Linked DNA regions of Tribolium castaneum. The protein of the gene in region 2 interacts with the protein of the main gene of each other region in a pairwise test. Links are inferred from orthologs where the notes say so. Each region holds a gene or a part of one and is shown on either strand. Other genes may lie near its edges.

The links.
Region 1: the proteins of ric8a (region 2) and prenylated Rab acceptor protein 1 interact in binary tests that used the Homo sapiens proteins (3 or more experiments, as listed by UniProt). The link is inferred for Tribolium castaneum from reciprocal best matches to the Homo sapiens genes RIC8A and RABAC1.

The regions. Positions count from the first base shown.
Region 1 is NC_087401.1:8,444,575-8,455,118, reverse strand, and holds prenylated Rab acceptor protein 1, read right to left. Parts: upstream 3,932-10,544; 5' UTR 3,776-3,931; intron 3,730-3,775; exon of another isoform or gene 3,723-3,729; 5' UTR 3,713-3,722; coding exon 3,639-3,712; intron 3,593-3,638; coding exon 3,383-3,592; intron 3,335-3,382; coding exon 3,034-3,334; 3' UTR 3,002-3,033; downstream 1-3,001. Other genes in the region: uncharacterized protein MED26, read left to right, coding at 238-300, 571-645, 690-1,997; Wee1 (wee1-like protein kinase), read left to right, coding at 4,092-4,434. UniProt on the Homo sapiens protein: General Rab protein regulator required for vesicle formation from the Golgi complex. May control vesicle docking and fusion by mediating the action of Rab GTPases to the SNARE complexes.
Region 2 is NC_087402.1:964,088-976,053, reverse strand, and holds ric8a (synembryn-A), read right to left. Parts: upstream 7,672-11,966; 5' UTR 7,517-7,671; intron 7,466-7,516; 5' UTR 7,453-7,465; coding exon 7,378-7,452; intron 7,325-7,377; coding exon 7,185-7,324; intron 7,022-7,184; coding exon 6,604-7,021; intron 6,336-6,603; coding exon 5,747-6,335; intron 5,697-5,746; coding exon 5,473-5,696; intron 5,359-5,472; coding exon 5,182-5,358; 3' UTR 4,972-5,181; downstream 1-4,971. Other genes in the region: uncharacterized protein LOC135267077, read left to right, coding at 1-553; RfC4 (replication factor C subunit 2), read left to right, coding at 3,698-3,789, 3,836-3,947, 3,989-4,603, 4,661-4,885.

The DNA.
Region 1 (10,544 bases), on a different chromosome or scaffold from region 2:
CCCGTTTCTGGGGGATTTTGCTGCGGTGAGGTTTGCGGTTGGCGGACACGCGCAATGATCGTTAGAGTTCGCCGAACCGATCCCCTCTCAGTATGTTCGGGTGCACCATGTTCCGTGTTTCACAGTGCGGACTGAGGACTGCACAAAGCGCAATGTACCTGCGCCATTACTGTGGAGAGGAACTACGAACAGTTCTGTCAAAGTATACCCGTTTTTCTCGCTTTAGGACGACTTTAAATGCAGAATAACGTAACGGAATTGACGCACAGATTACTACGAGCCCTCGACACTAATTACAATGTAAGAATTTGCCTGTTTTTTACCAAATCACACCGACACTCGCCCGAAAAGCGTACACCATTATCCCGACCATCCAGCACACGGCTGCATGCCCGAGACCGCCAAATACCGCGAAAACCCACCGAAATCGGGCGAAATAACGCCAAAAACGCGATCGCCTTTTGTCAAATCGGCCCAATCGTGGTTGGCCACTTGACCCAAACAGTCGAATAATTTGACAGTTGGGGCGCTTTGCGCCCCAACTGTCTCAACTAACCCCGTTTTTTCCAGGTCATTGACATGCCTGCAGTCATCGAAATCGTCTCGCTCCTCGAAAAAGTCACAATTACCAAAGAACTGCTCGAGGTAAGTGTCTCCCGAGTGTTGCGCCCCCTCATCGTGCGTTTCAGACCACCCGACTGGGCAAGCACGTGAACGAGCTGCGCCGCAAGACCGACAACGACTCGCTGTCGAAGCGCGCCAAGGAGCTGGTGAAGAAATGGCGCAATATGGTGCTGCCCGACTCCAACGGCCAGCTGAAGCCCCTCGAGAAGCGCCCCCTCAACCGGTCCCCCTCCCCCAAGCGGCCCAAGCTGAACGGCCAAACGGCCGAACTCGAACTGTCCGATAACTCGAATTCGAGTTTCAAAGATGTGATAAGTACGAAATTGAAGCGTGATGTGATCCTCATTAATTCCGACTCGAATTCGAGTCAGCAAGAACCACAACTCGAGCAACAACAACCCAAGAAGCGCGGACGCAAAAAAGGCTCCAAAAACCACAAGAATCTTCTCGATGAGGCTGAGACGTCGTTCACGAATAAGTTGGCCGTGTCGAGGGGCAACTCCAAGGTGAAGACCACGCAAGAGTTGATTGCGGGGCTCCAGAATAAGAATAACACGGTCTTGGGGGCGTCGCCTGTTAAACCGAAGGAAGATCTGAGTTTGCGTGCAGCTAAGTTAACGGAGAGGGTGTCAATAATTGACCAGAAGCTTAATACAAATGCTAACCGGTTCAAGAATTCGAGGAAAATTAACTTGGGGGGCAAGAATGTGATCGAGTCGGGGTCGGTGATTAATGACAAGTCGCTGATACCGCCTGAAGAGGAGGTTATTGTTGTGGACGATGTCGAGCCGACGGTTGAAGACAAGCCGCCGGAGACGCCGCCCCCTGAGCCCCCCGAAGAGGCCAAAATCACGTCGTTGAGTGTCGAGGAGGCGCTAGCGCAGCTGCCACCGCTTGTCGTCGACGAGGAGGAGGAGCCCCAGCCTGTGTGCACCTGTATTCTGAAGGAGCACAAGGATTTTTCCGTTGATGATACGGAAGAGTTGGGGCAACCGTTTGAGTTTGTTGAGGATGAGGAGTGCGCAGCCAGGTTACACTTTGAGGGTAGGAAAAAAACTGAAGAGGTTACTCCAGAGGAGCTACATAGCAAGTTTATTGATAATGTGAATGGGAATTGGGGGGTTGGAGTGGCCAAAATGGGGCCTGAAGTTGACGATAGAGGTCTCTTTGTGAACGTAGTGCCTAATGTAAATACGGAGAGTATACCGAAGGATGTCAAAGCGGACTTTGATTGTGAGAATTATAAGAAATATAGCATTTCAGAGAGTGACAGGACAGGTGATAGAGTGTTTCGGGAGTGGCACGAGGTCGTCGAGACACCTTCCTACAACGGCGAAATTTTCAAAATTTTGCCTTACGTTATTATAGATTAAAATACTAGTCTTGTATTAATTACACCTAAGAATTAAGTTTTTTTTCCACTGAAAGACGAGGTGTCATATTATTTTATTTGAGACCTAGAAACTGAACGTCGGGGTCGCTTTTTTTAATTATTATTGCACACCGCTTTTATAATTGTGTATATTTTATTAGCTAGGCAATGTTTTCAAAGTGTTACGAGCTATGGTTATATATTTAAAAAAATGTCAATTCACACATTGGCTATTGTTAATTTATTAATTTGTTGTTTCAATTCGCATTAATTAGTTATGAGTTTGCCAAACGGGGCGCATTTCTTCCGTTTTGTTGTCAGGTAATTAATTAATTTTTCAGTTTATTGTACATAAATTTAGGTTGTTCCACCCCTTTATCAAAATAGTTATTGTACAAACAGTTAATTTCTCTAGTTGGAAAATATCAGTACATGATATTAATTGCCTTTTACGAAAAATAAACATATTTTCTATAAATTTGACACGGCTTTGGATTTGACACACCCATCCACGTGGTCGCGTTGCCATGCACACCGCCAATCGCGTCCTTGACACTCGTCACGTGGTCGCGTTGCCATGGCCTCCGCCAATAGGGCGGCATAAGTCGGGTCACGTGACTGAATTTGACACAAGGCGGGGAAAATATTTCATAAAATAACAAGCTATAGTTATATATTAAAAAAAACATCGATTCACACACTGGCTCTAATTAATTCGGATGTTGTTTCAATTCGCATTAATTAATTAGTTAGTTACGAGTTTGTTATATATAATTATTGTATATTATCCGTTTTATCGGGTATAAAAGTAGTTCAAATCTTAAGAGATAAATTTCTTCTTCTTCAAGAATATCAGTACATAATATAATTTGGCTTTTACGAAAAATAAACGTATTTTCTATAAATTTTACACGGCTTTTTTGACACACTCATCACGTGGTGGCGTTGCCATGGCCTCCGCCAATGAGCAGTGTGAGTCGGGTCACGTGACTGAATTGACACAGGGCGGGTAAAACATTTAATAAAATTGTACAAAATTAGACTTGTTCTAAGAGCGGAAAACCGTCTTCTCCTTGCGCGATCACAGCGTCGATGTTGTAGAACGAGGCATGTAAAGTAATAAGGAAAAATGAGGCTCCTAGGACCCAAAACATGGCCCCGTGGGCCCCCACCATGTAATAAACTGGCATGGAACATAGTGCTACCACTCCATAAACTTGTGCCAAAGTCAATTCTTTTTTAAAAAGCACGATTTTCTTCTCTTGGTGCCTTTTGTTAAGCTTGTAGCCTGCGTAAAAAGTCCCAGCAAGGGCGAATAGAATCAAAGGCGAGGTTATTCTGAAAGTAGAATTTTGGGGTTGGTGCTCACACTGAGGGGCTCCTTACAAGCAATAAACAACCAAACCGAGGAAAACAAATAAATAATTGCTCTGGAAGTACTCGATGTTTCTCATAATTCGTTTGCTGAGTCTTGGGACTGAAGGGGGCGTCTTGAAGTTGGAAGTTTGTATGAATAATAGCCAGGGACGCACGTTTTGTCTTTGTTTACTAAACCATTCTTTCGGGTCCGGTATTTGGGTCGGAACTTGCAGAAAACTAGAAAATTCTAGAATTGAGGTTAGGTCGCTTAAAAATCTCATACCTTGAAAACGGGGTCCGTGGTGAATTTTCAGGGGGCGACATCACCCCCGACACATCCACGGACACGTCTGCCATGACAAGGGGGCTGTTTTCTGTAATTAGGTCACCAGTCCTGTCACTTGCCCACTTGTGGCTTACCTATCACCAAATTTGTCGCCCACCCTTGCAATAACAAATCAGTCACCCCTCTGAGCGTCTTTGACACAGTGGATAAGTAAATGAGCCCCAGTTGTGGTGATTCAAACACCACCGACGTGTCACTTTTCAAACCTCGCGCCGTCGTCAAATTGACACTAAAATGGCGTCCGCCCGCGGCCAATCAGCGCGTAGCTTCGCGCGTTGTGATTGGTCGACTCAAACCCCAGATGCGTCGATTTTCGTAACCGTTTCCGTGTCGAAAATAGAGCGTGTGTTTGTTTTTTTGCGAATTTTGGGCGTTTTTTGTGCGTGAGAAATGTCTGAAGTGCGCCGGAAGACTCCCGAGATCACGTTTGACTCGGAGCCCCCCAACGATCTGGACTCGTCGTCAGGTTGTGAGCTGTCTTTCGAACTTTCGAGTGACTATGTACGCAGCCCCTCACCGAGGCGTTCAGCTTCGTCCAACCCGACATACAGCCCCCCGTACAAGCGGGTGCGAGCGCTGCGACTGTTCGACAGCCCTCTCACCCCCAAGACTATCATACAGAAGTCGGCCACGACGCCGGCCCCCAGGTGTCGGCTCTTCACGGAGAAGCCGCGCAGTGTCACCAACACCAAGCAGAAGCCGGTGGCCAACGTCAACCCCTTCACACCAAACGGTAACGATTTCATTATTTCATTGAGGGGCGCCTCCTGTTTTTTAGCACCATGGCAAGTCGTAACAGGAACTTCAATGAATTTATTTCACCAAAGAAATTATGGCAAAAACTTGCTCCTATTTTAAGGGCAATAATGTAAAGTTTGATAAATCATCTGCCGTCCTGCTATAATAGTGGCAAATTAAAAAAAAATAACTTTTAGAGAAAGTTATGTGGTTGTTAATTCAATGTTTAGCCGCATTTATACATATTTTTTATGTTTACAACTTTTCAAAAAGTAGTTTATTTAACCAGTCTTTTAGAATGTCTCTTTACCCAAATTGTTTAACTTAAAAATATCGTTTTTTAAGGGCAATTTATGACGTGAGTACTATACTATCTAAAATAACGTAAAAAATTTATATTGCCATATACTGTGTTTTCATTGGCTCACTTTTTACAAATACTACTTAATACTACTACTTCAATACTCAATGCTACTACTTAAAGCAAATATCAGATGTTCATTATTAAAAAAAACTCCCAGCATTGCCTGATATTTTTACGGATGTCTTGGAGCAATTTTTATCATTGTATTGTTGGTTGCCTACGAAACCAGCTCATTAGAATTTGTAACCAAAATTGATAAATAGTCGATCTGTTATGTGTATTGAACAACAAGAAATACATTCCCAACAGTTTTGATAAATAATAAATATTTTTATGAAAATCCGTTGTCTTTTTAATTGTCATAAAGTAAGGTTATGAGAGAACGAAATATCATAGACATACAAAATAATTGATTTTTAATTTCAATTCACTCTAGAGTGTTTTTTTAATGAACACTTGTTACAATTTCAAGCAGTTTTTAGTACAACAGTAAGTAATTAATAATAATATTACAAATATTAACATTTACGAGATAAATTTATGTAATAACCCAAGATAGAGAGATGTGGCCAATCTAACTAACTAAAAGTTCAATTAAAAGTGATATTATTATGTAAATTGTATTTCCTGATAATTAAATTATAAAATATAGCTTTTTTACATCTACAGGGTGAGTCAATAGTGGGTTGTGTCTGAATTTTCATAAATATGCAACCGATAATACCGATTCCAGCTAACGAGATCGGTAATCGTTAAAAAAAATAATCCAAGATTACATTGTTCTGGATATTGTCAAGATTGTCTTGACAGTTTTGTTAAAATTTCATTATGGAATATTATTATTTAAAAGATAAAAATCCAATGATGATTCAATTAATGTTTTTAAAACTCAAAGTTCCAAGTGGTAAGTGCAATTATAGTGGCGGTCAGCTCGATTTGCGTGTGCGTCATCAATTTCATTTTTTCATTACCAACACAAAGCTGTAAAAAAATTGTCAAAAACAATGCAAATTTAAACAACTAAGGGGTATCTAAGGGTGGTATCCTTGAACATTAATATACATGTGCACTTCGACAACACCGTTAAGTGTCACGAATTTGTCAACCTGACATTGACAGTAAATCATAGACGTCGTCGCATGGTTGTCGAAAGTGTTATCGGTGTTAATCGCAAGTATTTTTCGTTCGTTTATTGTGTTTTGGGATTTGCGTTTCGTTAGGTTTTTGATTCTGCGTTTATTAGTTCTTGTTTTGTGAATCTGTATTTTTTGTATTTTTTTAATTTAAACACTTCGTAACCTCAAAAAATATTTGATAGTTTGTCACCGCTATGGCCCTGCTATGTAAACGTAGTGACAGAAATGTCAGATGACGCACACGCAAATGGAGCTGAGCGCTACCATAGTATTTTTGGTTGCATTTTAGCACATGTCAGAAATAACCCACTATTAACTCACCGTGTATATGAGTTATTTTTACTTAAACATATGGAGTACAATCGATCGTCTCTAAGATATTTTGTGGAATTTACTTTGGAAAAGGAATGTTCTATTGCAGTTACTGTTTAAAAAAAAAAATGAATTTAAGCGTGAAAATAAAGCAAAAAGTGTTAAAAAATTGTTGGTTGCTGTGTTTTTGCTTGGGACAGCCGACTGTATGCAGTGTACTGTCGTTAAGAAAAATAGGCAATGCCGTTGTTTTTATTTTTTTTTTATTTCGAGATGCTTCTGTTTAAACCAGTTTTTGCTTTCACAAAGTACTCACTGATACTGAAATGTTTACTTGCTAAAAACTAAAATTTAAAAAGCAAATTAGGCAAATAGATTTGGGATCAATTTCAGAACAATTATTAATTAGAACAAAATTTGCCCACCTAAAAAAACTTACGATATTTTGAATTTTTACAACTTTGCAGAAACATAAATTACGTAAAAATTAGTAACCGTTAAAAGATTGGTTCATGATTTTTTTGTAAAAAAGGTTAAAAAAATTAAGTTAAAAAAACGTAAGTTTCGTTTTCTTTGATTTTTGAAATAAAGCCCTCTGATTTAGAAAACTGATTGGTTTCTATAGAAACCAATAAAAAGGATTTTGAATCAGATTTAGATTCGAATTAAATTACGAAGATCATCCACATTTTTTTTGTAACTCACTGAGAAACGAAAGACTTTATAAACTCTGAGAAGTTTTAATTTAATTCTTCTAATCAAAATAGAGGAATTTTGTTACATTGTGAGCAATTATAATCTAATTTAACTTATTATTTGATATTTATTAACAATTTACTAGTTTTAAATACATCTACTACAAACTGATTCACATCTATATTGAATCTATGGGTACAAATATCGGGTGATTCAAAAATATGTGGCATAATTTTAACCACGAATACCCCTCTACAATTAAGAATAGATAGGATAGTGTTTACTGACCTACCACAAAAAATTGGAAAATTACAATTTTTCAAAAATTGGTATGGAAAAATGGTTTTTTGAAAATATTTTTCTTACCGTTCATGCGATTATTATGAAATTTTGCATGTCAAGAGACACAAACACGCTCTTTGATATGGTGTAAATGGAAATTTTGTAAAAGCTATACATTTCCGGTGACAAGGGGGCCCTTCTAGTTTTTAGGTGATAACTCAATTTTTCGGCCTATAAACACGTATTTTTGATACCAAAAATCAAAAGCTCAATTATTTTTTAATAAAAAAGGAACTCTTGCTTCATATCGCCAAAATGTACCGTTCTCGAGTTATTTGGGATTAAACTAAACTCTACACCGCAGTGCAGAATAAAAAAGTATAAATTTTGAGCATACCATTACCTTGGAAACTGTCGACTAAGAATGACACAGCTGTCATTGCTGTCACATTTGATGTCAATTTCATTTAATCTAAAGTAAAATTTGATTATTTCTTGATGATAATAGTTAAAGACACGATTATGTGTTGGAAGAAATAATGCATGAGCTAGCGATAGCCACCCCGGCATCACAACTTGATCTGATGGCACACCACCAGAAAACGATTTTCCCTCCAAATCGCTATTTTTATCGATATTTCAATACTTGCATTATAAAACTATAATCCAAATGAAGAATTAAAACGATCAGAAACCAAGAACACAACCTCAACTGTAACAAATCACAAAATAAAATCTTATCAACCATTTATAGTACCATTATTGCAATTTTTCTTTAATAGGAAGTTAATTTAATCCACAGGTAGTTGAAACCTGCAAAGAATAACGCACGGTTTAATGTTTATTTACATTTTTTAAAATTACAAGAACTTCGACAACAATGAGCACAAAAGCAACAAATGCCGCCAGCGTGCTAATTGGCGCCAGTGCTATTTTTCGTAAGCGCGAAAAAAAAATCATACAGTCATAACGATTAAAAAATTATTTTAGTATTTGGAAATGATGCCCTGATCACCCCATACTGGTAAGTCAAGAAAAAAAAATGATCCAGGTTATTATTGTTGTTTAATAAAAAAACATTGACTTCATCATTCATATTTTTTTTGATATTCGCGCTTATGAAAAATAGCACTGGCGCCAATTAGCACGCTGGCGGCATTTGTTGCTTTTGTGCTCATTGTTGTCGAAGCTCTTGTAATTTTCAAAAATGTAAATTAACATTAAGCCGTGCGTTATTCTTTTGTGGATCAAATCAACTTCCTATTAAAGAAAAATTGCAACATTGGCATTACAAATAGTTGATAAGATTTTATTTTGTGATTTGTTACAGTTGAGATTGTGTTCTTGGTCTCTGATCGTTTTAATTCTTCATTTGGATTATAGTTTTATAATGCAAGTAGTGAAGTATTGATAAAACCAGCAATTTGGAGGGAAAATCGTTTTACGGTGTGAAAACCTTGTGGTGTAGTCTCAGACCAAGTTGTGATGCCGGGATGGCTATCGCTAGCTCATGCATTATTTCTTCCAACACATAATCATGTCTTTTACTATTATCATCAAGAAATAATCAAAATTTACTTTGGATTAAATGAAATTGACATCAAATGTGACAGCAATGACATCTGTGTCATTCGTAGTGAACTGTTTCCAAGGTAATGGTACGCTCAAAATTTATACTTTTCTATTCTGCAGAGCAGTGTAGAGTTTAGTTTAATCCCAAATAACTAGAGAACGGTACAGTTTGACGACATGAAGCAAGAGTACCTTTTTTATTAAAAAATAATTGGGCTTTTGATTTTTGGTATCAAAAATACGTGTTTATAGGCCGAAAAATTGAGTTATCACCTAAAAACTGGAAGGGCCCCCTTGTCACCGGAAATGTATAGCTTTTACAAGATTTCCATTTACACCATATCAAAGAGCGTCTTTGTGTCTCTTGGCATGCAAAATTTCATAATAATCGCATGAACGGTAACAAAAATATTTTCAAAAAACCATTTTTCCATACCAATTTCTGAAAAATTGTAATTTTTCAATTTTTTGAGGTGGGTCAGTAAATACTATCCTATCTATTTTCATTTTTAGAGGGGTATTCGTAGTTAAAATTATGCCACATATTTTTGAATCACCCGATATATTAAAATATTGAGTCAAAAACTAAACTGCTCAAAAAAAGTTGGACATGTAAGTGCGCATTGTGAGATTAATCGTGTCTAAGCGAGAAAATTTTTGCTGGAAGATACAAAACTGGTACAACTCTAAACAATAAAATAAAAAGTTTCATAGAAAACGCATTTGATATTATTTTTCATGCGGCTGCAGATTTTTTTTTTAATTTAGTATGTTTTTTTTCAGTTTATTAGTCTGGCAACATGCAAAATTAACTGAAATCTGGACAGTGTCGTTAAGGGAAAAATATTAGATTATTTATTACTGGTATTAAGTGTTATGTGCCCAACAAAAATTTTGTTGGCCCACCTATGTGCCCACCCAAAAATTGGGAGCTAGTTCCGCCACTGCTTATAGGTATTAATAATGTTGTTGCTTATTCCATAGATATTCTACAAGCGGTTACTTGATTTAGTTATTTTTTTATCTTAGTCAATAGAATAAAGTGGCCATTTGATATATTTTTTTCTATTTGATGATTTCTTTATCCTATGGGTGAAAAATTTAAAAAAATTCTCAATGTACTTATAAGGGAAAAAGTGGCATTATACACGTAAAGAAAAAGTGGCATTATATGTTCGCGATTCCTTTCTGAAACACATCACTCACTTATATAATGAACTATTTTCAAAATATCAAATTTATTTTAAAATGTTAGGTTTAAGGCAATCTAGTAGTTTCAGCTATGTTACATTCTCATTGGTCACAAGTTGGCCTCGTGGTCGCTACGATGCGTTCTCATTGGTCACGAGCCTATATTTTAATGAATGCCATTAAAGTACAGGTCACAAACATTTTAAATGAATCAGTTAAGATATGGAAGTGGAAAAAAATTATAACTTTAAGGATCGGTTTACAGAAAGCGAAATTAAGATTTAATTCGAAATTAAACTAATTCGAATTAAGTTGCCATTTAAAATGCATTGACAAATGTCAAGTTAATCGCGATTAAAATTTAATTGCAATTAAAATTTTCTGTAAACCGGCTCTAAGAGTTAGTACTGTTTTCAAATAAATTAAAAGCTGTTTGGTCTAAACCCCACATTGGAGGTATTGTGACATTCGGTAATTAATGATATAATCCGAAAAATTTTCGAACCTTTTTTATTTTAATTATGGTAATCAATGAAACGACATGTCTTCAAA
Region 2 (11,966 bases):
CCGCAACGCTTGTTATAGTGAAGTACTGGCAACTGTATCTGAATTCCACTTGAGAGCTACATCTATTAAAAATTATGTAAGTGCTCTGAAATTACTATTACAAAGTACAAGTGAGAGGGCATTTGTTGATTTTGCAAACGCCGTATTGGTATTACTCTCTCAATCACAGAAGATTATGAACGAAACAGAACTTCATCACATCTTGTATACTCTGGTATATAACTCCAGATACTTCGAAACACACAGTGAGGTCCAGATCAAGAAAAAAAGAAAACGACCAGGGATAGCCAATACCCTAGATGTGGTGATAATCAGTAAGAACGTTGGAATCATTTTTGAATACAAAATGTATTCCAAGTCTGCAAATGAAGCTTTACAACAAATTTTTGAGAAGCAATATTACACTAAATTTGATGAACCTGACTATAAACACATTTCAAAAAAGATTTACGCTGGTTTGACATTCGAGCCAGAGGAGAAGAAAGTTTTTATAACATATCAAGTTGGAACTGAAGGAATAAGTAAATCTGTCTGTAGTGATACACTATTATAATTTATTATGTTAAAAAAATTAATACTTATTTTATTATTCTGCTAATGATTTGTTTATAGTGTTAATAATAAAATTCTATTTAAATTTCCAAATGCTTGGTTTGTTCACCAAGTTCAGCTAATTTTACTGTCCTGTTGATTCGCCAAAGGCCAAAGGCTCATGAGTCGAAGACGAATTCAGGATTGATGGTCGTGCCGATGATTCTCCTCGATAGACACATACCTATAAACGGTATAAGCTGTCGTGAAAGAGGAGATGCTGTAAGAATAGATCGGATTGTAGTCGGGGAATGTTTTTCGTACGACTGTCCGATTGTTCCTAGAGTGACAGTGTCGGGGTAGTCTTTAGCCAGTTGGGCCAAATAAGCATTAATCTTTAAAACAATAACTAAAAACGGGAGTTATTTTTTCCAAGTGTTACCTCAGCGTGGCGTAAATATTGGTCAAAAGTAATTGTTCCCAAACCTAAAGCTTGTCTCGATTTGTGGTAGTGTTTTTCAGCCTGAATGGCGGTTCCAACATTTTCGATTTCAATGCTAAACTCAAGATTGTTGAGCCCTCGTATTTGGCACTAGACAAGCCCACGAGGGCTAGTACTATCAGTACTGGCACTTTCATTGCGATATCTACTGAGGTATCGAGAGCAGAATCTCTTTTATAAACGTGGTGGATAAACAACAGTCTAATCTGCTGATTCTTCGATAAAATTGAATTGAATTTGTTCTAATTCTCTTTTAATCCAGTGTTTTAACGGATTACGTCTTCAGACGTTTAGTTTAGTGGTTAAAAATCCAGCTTCAATAGTTTAATCCCGTGATATTTCATCCTTGAGTGATACAAGACTTTTGTCTATTATTATTAGTTGTGACAAAAGAGCTAACAAAAGTGAAAACGAATAAAAAATTAATCCTCGATAAAAATTAGTTTCATCAATAATTTTTTTAGAAATGTGTAAAAAGTGCCATAAATTGCGACTTCATAATTAATTACCCGATTTTAACAAATTACTGAATAAAAAATTTCTCAATTATTTTATATCGTACATATTTTTGAATCAATGGTCCGACTAATGCCATTCAAATACTTTCGTGTTAATTATTATTTATTACTTCTTGTTAGTGTGATTATTTAATATAACGTTTGGGGCCCGTTTATAAAATGGTTTGTTAAAATTTAATTCGTTGTTAAAAGTTAACAACGCAAATCAAATCAAATTTGCTAATTTGTTAGTTGCAAATTAACTTAATGGCCCTTAGATATATATATATATATATATATATATATATATATATATATATATATATATATATATATCTAAGGGCCATTAAGTTAATTTGTTAGTTGCAAATTAACTTAATGGCCCTTAGATATATATATATATACAAAAATAAAAGTGTCTCAGATCAATGCAAAGCGCAAACAACATTCTTTTTATCAAAACTAAATTACTTACATAATGAATTTGTAAATGGTTTCTAATAATCTTAAGCAAAAAAATTTTTCTTAATTTCTGGGTCCATTAGTTATACTATAACTATAAAGTCTACTTTTGTGCCCTATTTCAATAAAAAAAATGCAAATCCGCTGTTGCTATTTTCATTAAAAAGGTAGATCTTTAAATTTAAACAGTCAGTATACAGCGTGCTCAAAAACTGGCGCACCAACTCATTGGTGTGTGGTAGAGAACTGGTTACATATAAAGGTAAAAATAGTAAAAAAATTCTTTGAATTAAAGTTATTGATAAATAACTAATTTTAGATAAATGATATGTGGCAACGTTGTCTAACAGTCATGATCGCAATAGAATTTGATCAACAATAAAAATAAATTATTTTTGAAACGGTTTCCTAGGAAATAATTCCCAGTGTTGGCACATCTACACATTGTGATTTTTTGGATGAATTTTAATTTTTTTTAATTAAAAAAACTGCTAAAATCTGATAGTAAATTTAAAAATAATTATTCATCGTTTTGTTACGGAACGATTACCTGGTATGAAACATAGAAATATAAAAAAATAATGATAACTAAAGAAGTTAACACAATAAGTTTGTAGCTCTTGATTTTTTAAAATATGACTTTAGGAATTTTTTTAACATTTTTCCCGTGATCTACACGTGTTCTCAACAACGTACCACTGCGTTGGTGCGCCAGTTTTTGAGCAGCCTGTAGATAAATCTAGATAATTCTTTTGTTCTACACACATTCACTGAAACTTGGTTAGATAATAACTTGATAATATCGGGTGATTCAAAAATGTGTGGCATAATTTTAACCACGAATACCCCTCTACAATTAAGAATAGATAGGATAGTATTTACTGACCCACCACAAAAAATTGGAAAATTACAATTTTTCAGAAATTGGTATGGAAAAATGGTTTTTTGAAAATATTTTTGTTACCGTTCATGCGATTATTATGAAATTTTGCATGTCAAGAGACACAAAGACGCTCTTTGATATGGTGTAAATGGAAATCTTGTAAAAGCTATACATTTCCGGTGACAAGGGGACCCTTCCAGTTTTTAGGTGATAACTCAATTTTTCGGCCTATAAACACGTATTTTTGATGTCAAAAATCAAAAGCCCAATTATTTTTTAATAAAAAAGGTACTCTTGCTTCATGTCGTCAAACTGTACCGTTCTCGAGTTATTTGGGATTAAACTAAACTCTAAAAAAAACATCTTTTTTATTGTTGAATTGGTGGTCAAAAGGGCATTGTGTGACAAAACCGATTTCGGGGTGAAATGGGGCGAAAACTGCAATAGTGCATTTGCGGAGCTATAAATATTGAAATTAGGTGAAAAAGTGGGAAAAATTATGAAGCAATTTGTGGTAAATAATTGAGTTTTTCGCTATTAGCAAAGTGACTTTCTTAAAATGTCATTTTTAAGAGGGTGTTAGTGTTTTTTCGGATTTTTATTTTATTAAACGGTTTCAAAGCTGACAACCAAACATACATCTACGCAAATTGAAACGTATTTTGCTAGTGTGAAACTGGCTTCATGTTCGGGTTTCTTCGGAATTTCGAGGAGCTGGTTTGGGGAGCTGTCTTCACACAAATCAATGTCAATGACACCCGAACACTAACCTACAAAATTTAACTTTGGAGGGAAACTGTCAATACGTTGTGTTAGTTGATTATGGAGACAATGGAAGTAGAAGAAGCCCCACAGGCGGGCCCTTCGGCCGAACCCGGCCAAGGCCCGTTACAAAAAGCCGATAACCTCCCTTGGTAACTCCCTCACTTCCAACCACAATCTCTAACAGTTCGTTAACAGGATCGAAAAATACCGCCCCCAGACTTTCCAAGAAATCGTAGGCAATGAAGACACCACCAATCGCCTGTCAGTCATCGCCAAACAGGGCAACCTCCCCAATTTAATCATTGCCGTAAGTGTAATTTTCCCCCTATCCACTCCACAATTAACTAGGGGCCTCCTGGCGTGGGCAAAACCACCACAATCCTGTGCCTGGCCCGAATCCTTTTAGGCCCAGCGTTTAAAGACGCTGTTCTCGAACTCAACGCGTCAAACGACAGAGGTATAGACGTTGTCCGTAACAAAATCAAAATGTTTGCGCAACAAAAAGTCACTCTCCCGCCTGGACGCCACAAAATCATTATCTTGGACGAGGTGGACAGTATGACCGAAGGGGCGCAACAAGCCCTAAGACGCACGATGGAAATTTACAGTAATACGACTCGGTTCGCTTTGGCTTGTAACTACAGTGAAAAAGTGATAGAAGCGATTCAGTCACGGTGTGCTATTTTGCGGTACTCCCGCTTAACGGATGCCCAAGTGTTGGCAAGGGTGATACAAGTGTGCCAACAGGAGAGTGTTGAATATACGCAGGATGGGCTTGAGGCGATTGTGTTCACAGCTCAGGGGGATATGAGACAAGCGTTGAATAATTTACAGTCGACTTTTAACGGCTTTGGGGTTGTTAATTCCACTAATGTGCTGAAAGTGTGCGATGAGCCCCATCCTATGTTAATTAAAGATATGCTCAACAGTTGTGTTACTGGTGATGTAAGGAAGGCGTTCAAGGTCGGTAACAATTTGAATACGTGTTTTTTTTTGTTATTTAGTGGAGTTTTGTTGCAGATTGTTGATCATTTGTGGAGTTTGGGGTACGCTGCCGAGGATATTATTAAGAATATTTTCAAGGTTTGCAAAAATATGGACATGGAGGAGAGTTTGAAACTTGCTTTTATTAAACAAATTGGGGTCACACATATGAGGATTGTTGATGGTTTGTGCTCTTTGGTGCAAATGTCGGGACTTATATCGAGATTATGTATGGAAGCTAAAGGAGTGAAGGGTGAATGATTACTTTAAAATTTGCTATTGTATTTAAATAAGTTTTTCAATAAAAAATATACAACTTAATTGGTGTTTATATTGAAACAAACAAATCACATTCAGTGCGACTTTATTCGATCATTAAAACGGAAGTATCACAACATAAATAATATTAAATAAAATACGTACATAAAGAAATAATCTCACTATTTTTCCTAACATCGTTTCGTTAAAAATACAAACAATAGAATAGTAAACGATTTGATTCAATCATTTTAAAATGCAGACTAGGTTTACGACATTTATTATTTATTAAAAATAAATTAATCATCGCTATCGCTGTCATTGTTGACTTGTTGCGCTTTTATACCTTCCTGCAATTGTAACACATGTTTGATGGGATGAGGTTTCCCATCCTCGCCTACTCTACATGGTTGGATGGTCCCAGATCTGGTCAAACTGTCCATTAATTCGACCAACTTCATGGCCTCATACTCTTTCTGCAAACAAAAAAATTACCCTGATTATTTTTTTCCTCAACAAAAAAAAAAAACAATTTTTGTTGTGGGTCGCCAGGAGCCACAATAACCGTTTTTTCAACAAAATCAAATTACCTGTTCCTCTGTCATATTTTCCATTGCGTTGGGATGCGGTTCTTCGTAACACCCAATCACTGGATTAATCCCATGTTTAAATTCGGCATATTCTTCAGTTTCGCTTCCCTCACTACCTGAACTATAATCAGCCTCGCCTCTATCTGAGCGCCCCCCTAAGAGCCCCCTTTTGGCAAAGAGACCCGCAGCATTGCCATAACCCGTATACTTAATCATCCTTTTGACTAAAATTATAATAATTATTTAAAAAATAAATAAAATGAATTGTTTTTACCGCTTTTTTTGCACAAAATGAACAACAAATCGGCCACCAAATCCCTCAACTGTGTTATCGGCGTGGTTAAAAGCCGACACAAGTGATTACGAAGTGTGGAGCCTTGTTCAGGTCGACTGTGCACATCTTTCAAAGGTGGAAGAATTTGGAGACGGAGATATTTTCGAATAGCACGTTCACTGTTTGCACTTTTCAATAAAATTGTTACGACAGGACACAAAATTTCGTATTGTTTTGTGACACCTTCAACGTTGTTAAATTTGCTTTTTAGCACCATCAGGATTTCGTAAAAAGCCGTCATATTCTGGCCTTCGAATTGAAATTTGGGTTTGAGGTTTTGGCCAGGTTGGACAGGTGTTATCAGATTTTTGAAAGTTGAATCAGGCATGTTTGTTAGTAAATTGATTACGTTGTTTTTTAATGCCAGGCCTTTTTCTTTATCTTGTGTTGGTACAAGAAGATACATTCTTAAGAGAGTGACCAAATGGTCACACTGTTCGTTTTCTTCTTTATCGTCATAGATGCCGTAACTTAATGTTACGTTAAATAGGGCTTTCAGAATTTCGCAAGCCAGGTCCACTTTTTGGTCCTAAAACAGAAAAAACAAGCAAGATAATTAATATTACTTTATTAAAACATCTTCCACTATTTCCCTACACATGTGATTTTTTTTTAGATTTTTTCCACACTTCCTTATAATTAAAATTATTTTAATTAATGAATTAATAAAACGATGCCTACAAACTGTTTTTGCACAAAGAAATATTCTTCATTGAATAAACAACAAGTTGTCTTAAAAAATTTATTATACAGGGTGTCTCAAAATAAATTGTTAAAAAAAATATAACTATACTTACATCCAAAATAATTTTTTCGGGTGATGCTTGGGCCGCTTCTTTCAGCATCTCATCTAGCATTTTAAGCAAAGATTCGACCCCTTTTAATTCTTCCTTTACTTTTGAGCGAACTTCAGAACACAGTGCTGTTAGTAGGAAAATGAGCTTAACATCGTAAAATCTGATTTCTTCCGGTATTTTATTCTCTTGGGGATTTTTGATACGTTCAGTTAACTGTTCCAAAACACCATTTTTGCAACACAGTCCTGCAGCAACAGGACTGTTGAAAATCACATTGCATAAACATTTTTCCACTTCAATTGCCAATAATAATTTACTAGCATCAAATTTGTACTGGGGATCGTCCAAACCGGAGTGTTTTTGCATGAGTTTGAACCATTCGTCTGTTATTAACTCGTTCAGACCCATTTTTTCCCGACTAAAATTTTTTGCATGTTATGAATTATCACCGAAATTGTATTGATTTGAATTGGCATAGGTGGCTACGGAAATTTAAATTTCTGTTGGTAACTCAAATCAATCAAATAGTTTAGGATTTAGCTACCATATGCCAATTCATTTCGGAATAATTCCGCAAATACCTTAATATACGAATTGCGATAAAGCAATTCATTAGTGTAATCTCACTATTGGCTGTTTTGGCCAATGTAAATAATGCCTCCCATAATTCTTTCCGTTGGTTATTTTTATTGAGTTCTGGAAACTCGAATACTTGTGAAGCCTTCAATACAAGATTGTTGTTTATTGTAACTGTCATTAAATATTTATACATACCTCTTCAACGAAACATTGTAGCGATTCTGCTGCTTCTTTTCCTCCTTTTATTATAGTTTGGATATGTTTATCCATTATTATTCAACACCTGTTAGTGTCTCTTGTTAGTTACTTCTGTACAACAACCACGTTAACGTACCTGAATATTTCGTTACGGTTTTATTGAATGTTTTCTTGTTGTTTACACACAAATTATGTTTTTCTGCTAAACACCACAGATAAAATTAGAGAAATTGACAGTTTTGACACCTGCGCACTGACAGCGTCAAAACTGGACGCCCCTTTTTTACAGGTATCTGTAACTTAGAAGCGCAACCTGTAATTTTTTTTTTGTTACGAAACGTTCTAGCATTTATTACAATGTTTTTTGATGTTTTTATGTGTAGTTGGAATTTCAAGCAACTCGATTATAGATTTCTTGTGCTAAAAAAATAATTTTATAAACATACAATCACCGTATTAGTGTTGTGAGTGTCGCGCCCTCTGATTGTTAATTGTAAAAGCACTAAATTTCTTTATCGAGTCTACGGAGGACTATAAGTTAGGAGACGAAACGTACCAAAAAAATAGTACGGCCGAGTAAAAATTCAACCAATTCACTAATTACTTGGAAAAAATACAGAAATGTTGTCGTAGCACTTGAGAAAAACTGAAAGAAAGATGAGAAAAAAATTATTTAAAATTTAGAATTTGCGCAAAGTTTTGTATTTCTTACGAAATACAAAAAAATTATAAAAATTATGTTTTTATTTTCAGCGGTTTAAGTATAAATTAAATTTCCAATACAAAATGAAGCAAATCCGCGCTTGAGCGTTTTTGAACGACTTTGGGGACTAAATGGTTGAAGATAGAGAACTAGTCTTGCGGACTTTTTTGTAGGAAATTTACTTCTCTACAACTTTTTTTCTAACATTTTTCTTGTATCTGTAACGGTATTCGCAGCGTTTTGAAAAATATGGGACAGAGAGCAAATTGGTTAAACTTTGAATTTTTTTTAAATAGATTACAGTAAAATTCTTGCTTATGTTTATGTCTTACTATTGAGAATTTAATGCTCTATCTGGCTGTGTTTTTTTTGTTTGCTATGTGTTAACCGTTGTACAAATACAACAATTTTTTTCAAAAATTTAGATAACTGCGCTCTCTGGCGACATTAACGAAACTATTGGGGACGGGAACGTTTTATTTGTACGTCGTTTGTTATCCTAACCTTTAGATATTCGTAGTCAAAATGTTTTAATTAAAAATTAGACCGAAATTGATGTAATTTAAGCCGCTTTTAAGCGATTTAACTGTTTTTTGACTCAAAAAACAGCTTAAAATAAGTGTTATCTTTATATTCTCATGTTTTCACGCACATTAATTACTAAGAGCGTCTCAAAATCAAAGATACCTTATGTAAAATCGTCCCATACAAACTTTTTTCGTGTTAAAATTTTTTGTTTAAAAAAATCGACCCAAAACACTTCTTTATCCGGAATTATTACCCACGGTTTAACACTAGTTTTGAACGTTTTTTTTTACTCATTCTGCGAGACCTACAGATGGCGACCACGACACACGTCTGTAAACAGTGCCGTGAAACAGTAAATATAAACATCGACAAAGTGATCCTTTGTTATGGAAAGTGCAACACATGCATTCACTATGCATGCAGCCCATACAAACCTGGAGAAATCAAGGTACTAGATAACTACAAGGAAAATATCAAATGGGTGTGCGACTCCTGCAGAATCAGACCCTCGCAAGAGGAAGCGATGAGACACCTTATAGATATTGTAAGTAACCTTAAGGGAAAAATTGACGACTGTCTGAAACAAATACAAAATCAAAACGGAACAATACAAAGGTTAGATCAGCTGTTAGCGGAGTCACAAACCAAATCGTCCAAACCAATAACAAGATCCAACAAAGGACACACAGATGTCATCACAAACCAAGAAAGAGAAAACCTGACGAACGTAAAAGCTCAGAAAAAAAGTAACAAGCCATCTGACAGGGTGATAGAAAACAACAAGCAAAAAAAACAAGTTGACAAGGAGGGTAACACAGTCCAGGACAAAAAACCCGAAACAAGCCAATCATTAAACCAACGAAACGACGAAAAAGAAGACCCCAACAAATCGGTAGGTTTTGAAAACCTAACCACAATAATAAACTATAACATACAATCACTATCGAAAAAAATAGACGCACTGACTATACAGTTAACAGAAGACGAAGTAGACATTGTAATTATCACTGAGCACTGGTGCAAGGACAACACCCTGGAAAGCTTAACCATCCCAGGATATAATATTATAAGCCACTTTAGCAGATCACTTAACCAGCATGGCGGATCCTTAATCGCAACAAGGGAGGGTATTTCCGCAAAAAATATTGAAGGCATTAGACCCCTATGTGAAGAATTCACTGCAGAAATCTCAGCTGCTGAGATTCCTTCAAAAAACTTAATAATAATGGCGGTATATCGATCTCCAAATCAGAACTTCAAGCACTTCATAGATAAAATTAATGAAGCACTAGAAAACCTGACACAAAGGAACCACTCTAGACGATACATTGTCGCTGGGGACTTTAACACCAATATTCTCAAGGATGGCGTCGAACAATCTTTATTAATCGAAACTTTCACAACATATGGTATGCAACCACTAATGAGAGAGGCATCTAGAACAACTGAAACTTCTTCTAGCTGCATAGATAATATATTTTCAAATATTAACATAGAAGAAATCTTCTCAAAAGAGACAAAAAGTTGGTGCATGTCTGATCACTACTGTCAAGTCCTGAAGATTAAGAACCCAGTGCAAGAACCTAGAAAACCAGAAAAACATATATACAGAAGAATAAATGAACAGAATACTTACTACTTTAAGGAGTACTTAACCGGAATTGAGTGGGCTCGTGTCTTCAAACACCGTAATGCAAAAGAGGCCTACACTGTCTTCCATACAACTCTGACAGCTGCCTTTGACAAATTCTTCCCTAGAAAAGAAAAAATTAATAAACCAAAATTCAATAAGAGACCTACGTGGATTAGTAAAAAAATCATGAGTATGAAAAATACACTAGAAGCTCTACAAACAATAGCAAGAGTTGAGAAAAGCCAACAATCAGCTGAGGTCTTCAAGTCATATAAACGCAGCTACTTCCAAGAAATTGAAGAAAACCACAGAAACTACAACGCTTATATCCTAAACAATGCTGATAATAAGCAAAAAGCCATTTGGAAAATCATCAATACAAAAACGAAGACAAGCAATACCAAAGAATGCAAATTGAATGCCGACGAACTCAATCTCTACTTTGCCACGATAGGAGAGAAAACGTCAGACAGTATAAAAAAAATCGACAAAGATCCTTGTGATTTCCTCAAGGCGTGTAAAAGCAATGCAAAATCGTTTTGGTTAGCGCCTGTTAGTGAAGAAGAGGTCACAAGACTGATAAGATCCTTAAAATGCAAAAACTCCAAAGATGTGTACGATATGTCTACGTCATTTTTGAAAGAAATACTCCTAGAAATTACAAATCCACTTACTATGCTCATAAACAAAAGTTTTATTGAAGGATACTTTCCTGACGAGTTAAAGGTGGCAAAAATTATTCCGGTTCCAAAAGAAAAAGGCGAAGTAGAAAACATCAACAAATTTAGACCAATCTCTATTCTACCTACAATTTCAAAAGTCTTCGAGGCTGCTCTGAAGAATCGTTTAATGAAGTATCTTGAGCAAAATGACTTATTTAGTGAGTCACAACATGGCTATAGAAGTGGTAGATCAACCATTACTGCAGCATTGGATCTATACAAGAAAATAACAAGAGCCCTAGATAACCGAGAAATGGTAGAAGTAGCGATGTGCGATCTAAGCAAAGCGTTTGACACCCTGCCACACAAGTTGATTCTACAAAAATTACAACACTATGGGATACGAGGGATCACGCAAGAAATTTTTAAGTCCTACCTTGAAAATAGAACCCAGATAGTAAAATGGAATGAAAAATGGTCAAAGCCTCTGCCAACAAGGTGTGGAGTGCCCCAGGGATCAATCCTCGGTCCACTGCTATTTATAATCTATGTAAATGACTTGCCTATCAATATGAGAGTGGATGGACAGTGTCTATATGCGGACGACACTTCCTTCTGCATCAAAGAAGAAACAGAGGATACGCTAAAACCAAAAATGAGAAAAATCCTTGAAGATGCCAATGAATGGTTCACAGCAAATAAACTGAAACTCAATGGAGACAAGACTCAGGAACTATTTATATCTTCAAAACCCACCAACGTCACATCGGTAAAATTCTTGGGATTTTACCTAAATAGCAAAGCATCTTGGAAGGACCACATTCAGGAAACCTGCAAAAACCTAGCATCAGCTTTATTCAGTATCAGAAGAATCAAGAATATCTCAACTCCCCAAGCTGCAAGGGTGACATACTTTGCTAACTTCCACAGCAAAGCCACCTATGGTATACTTCTATGGGGTACTTCATCAGATGCTGACAAGATCTTCGTCCTGCAAAAGAAAGCAATCAGAATCCTGTGCCAAATGAACTATCGGGAAAGCTGCCGCCCAGCCTTCAAA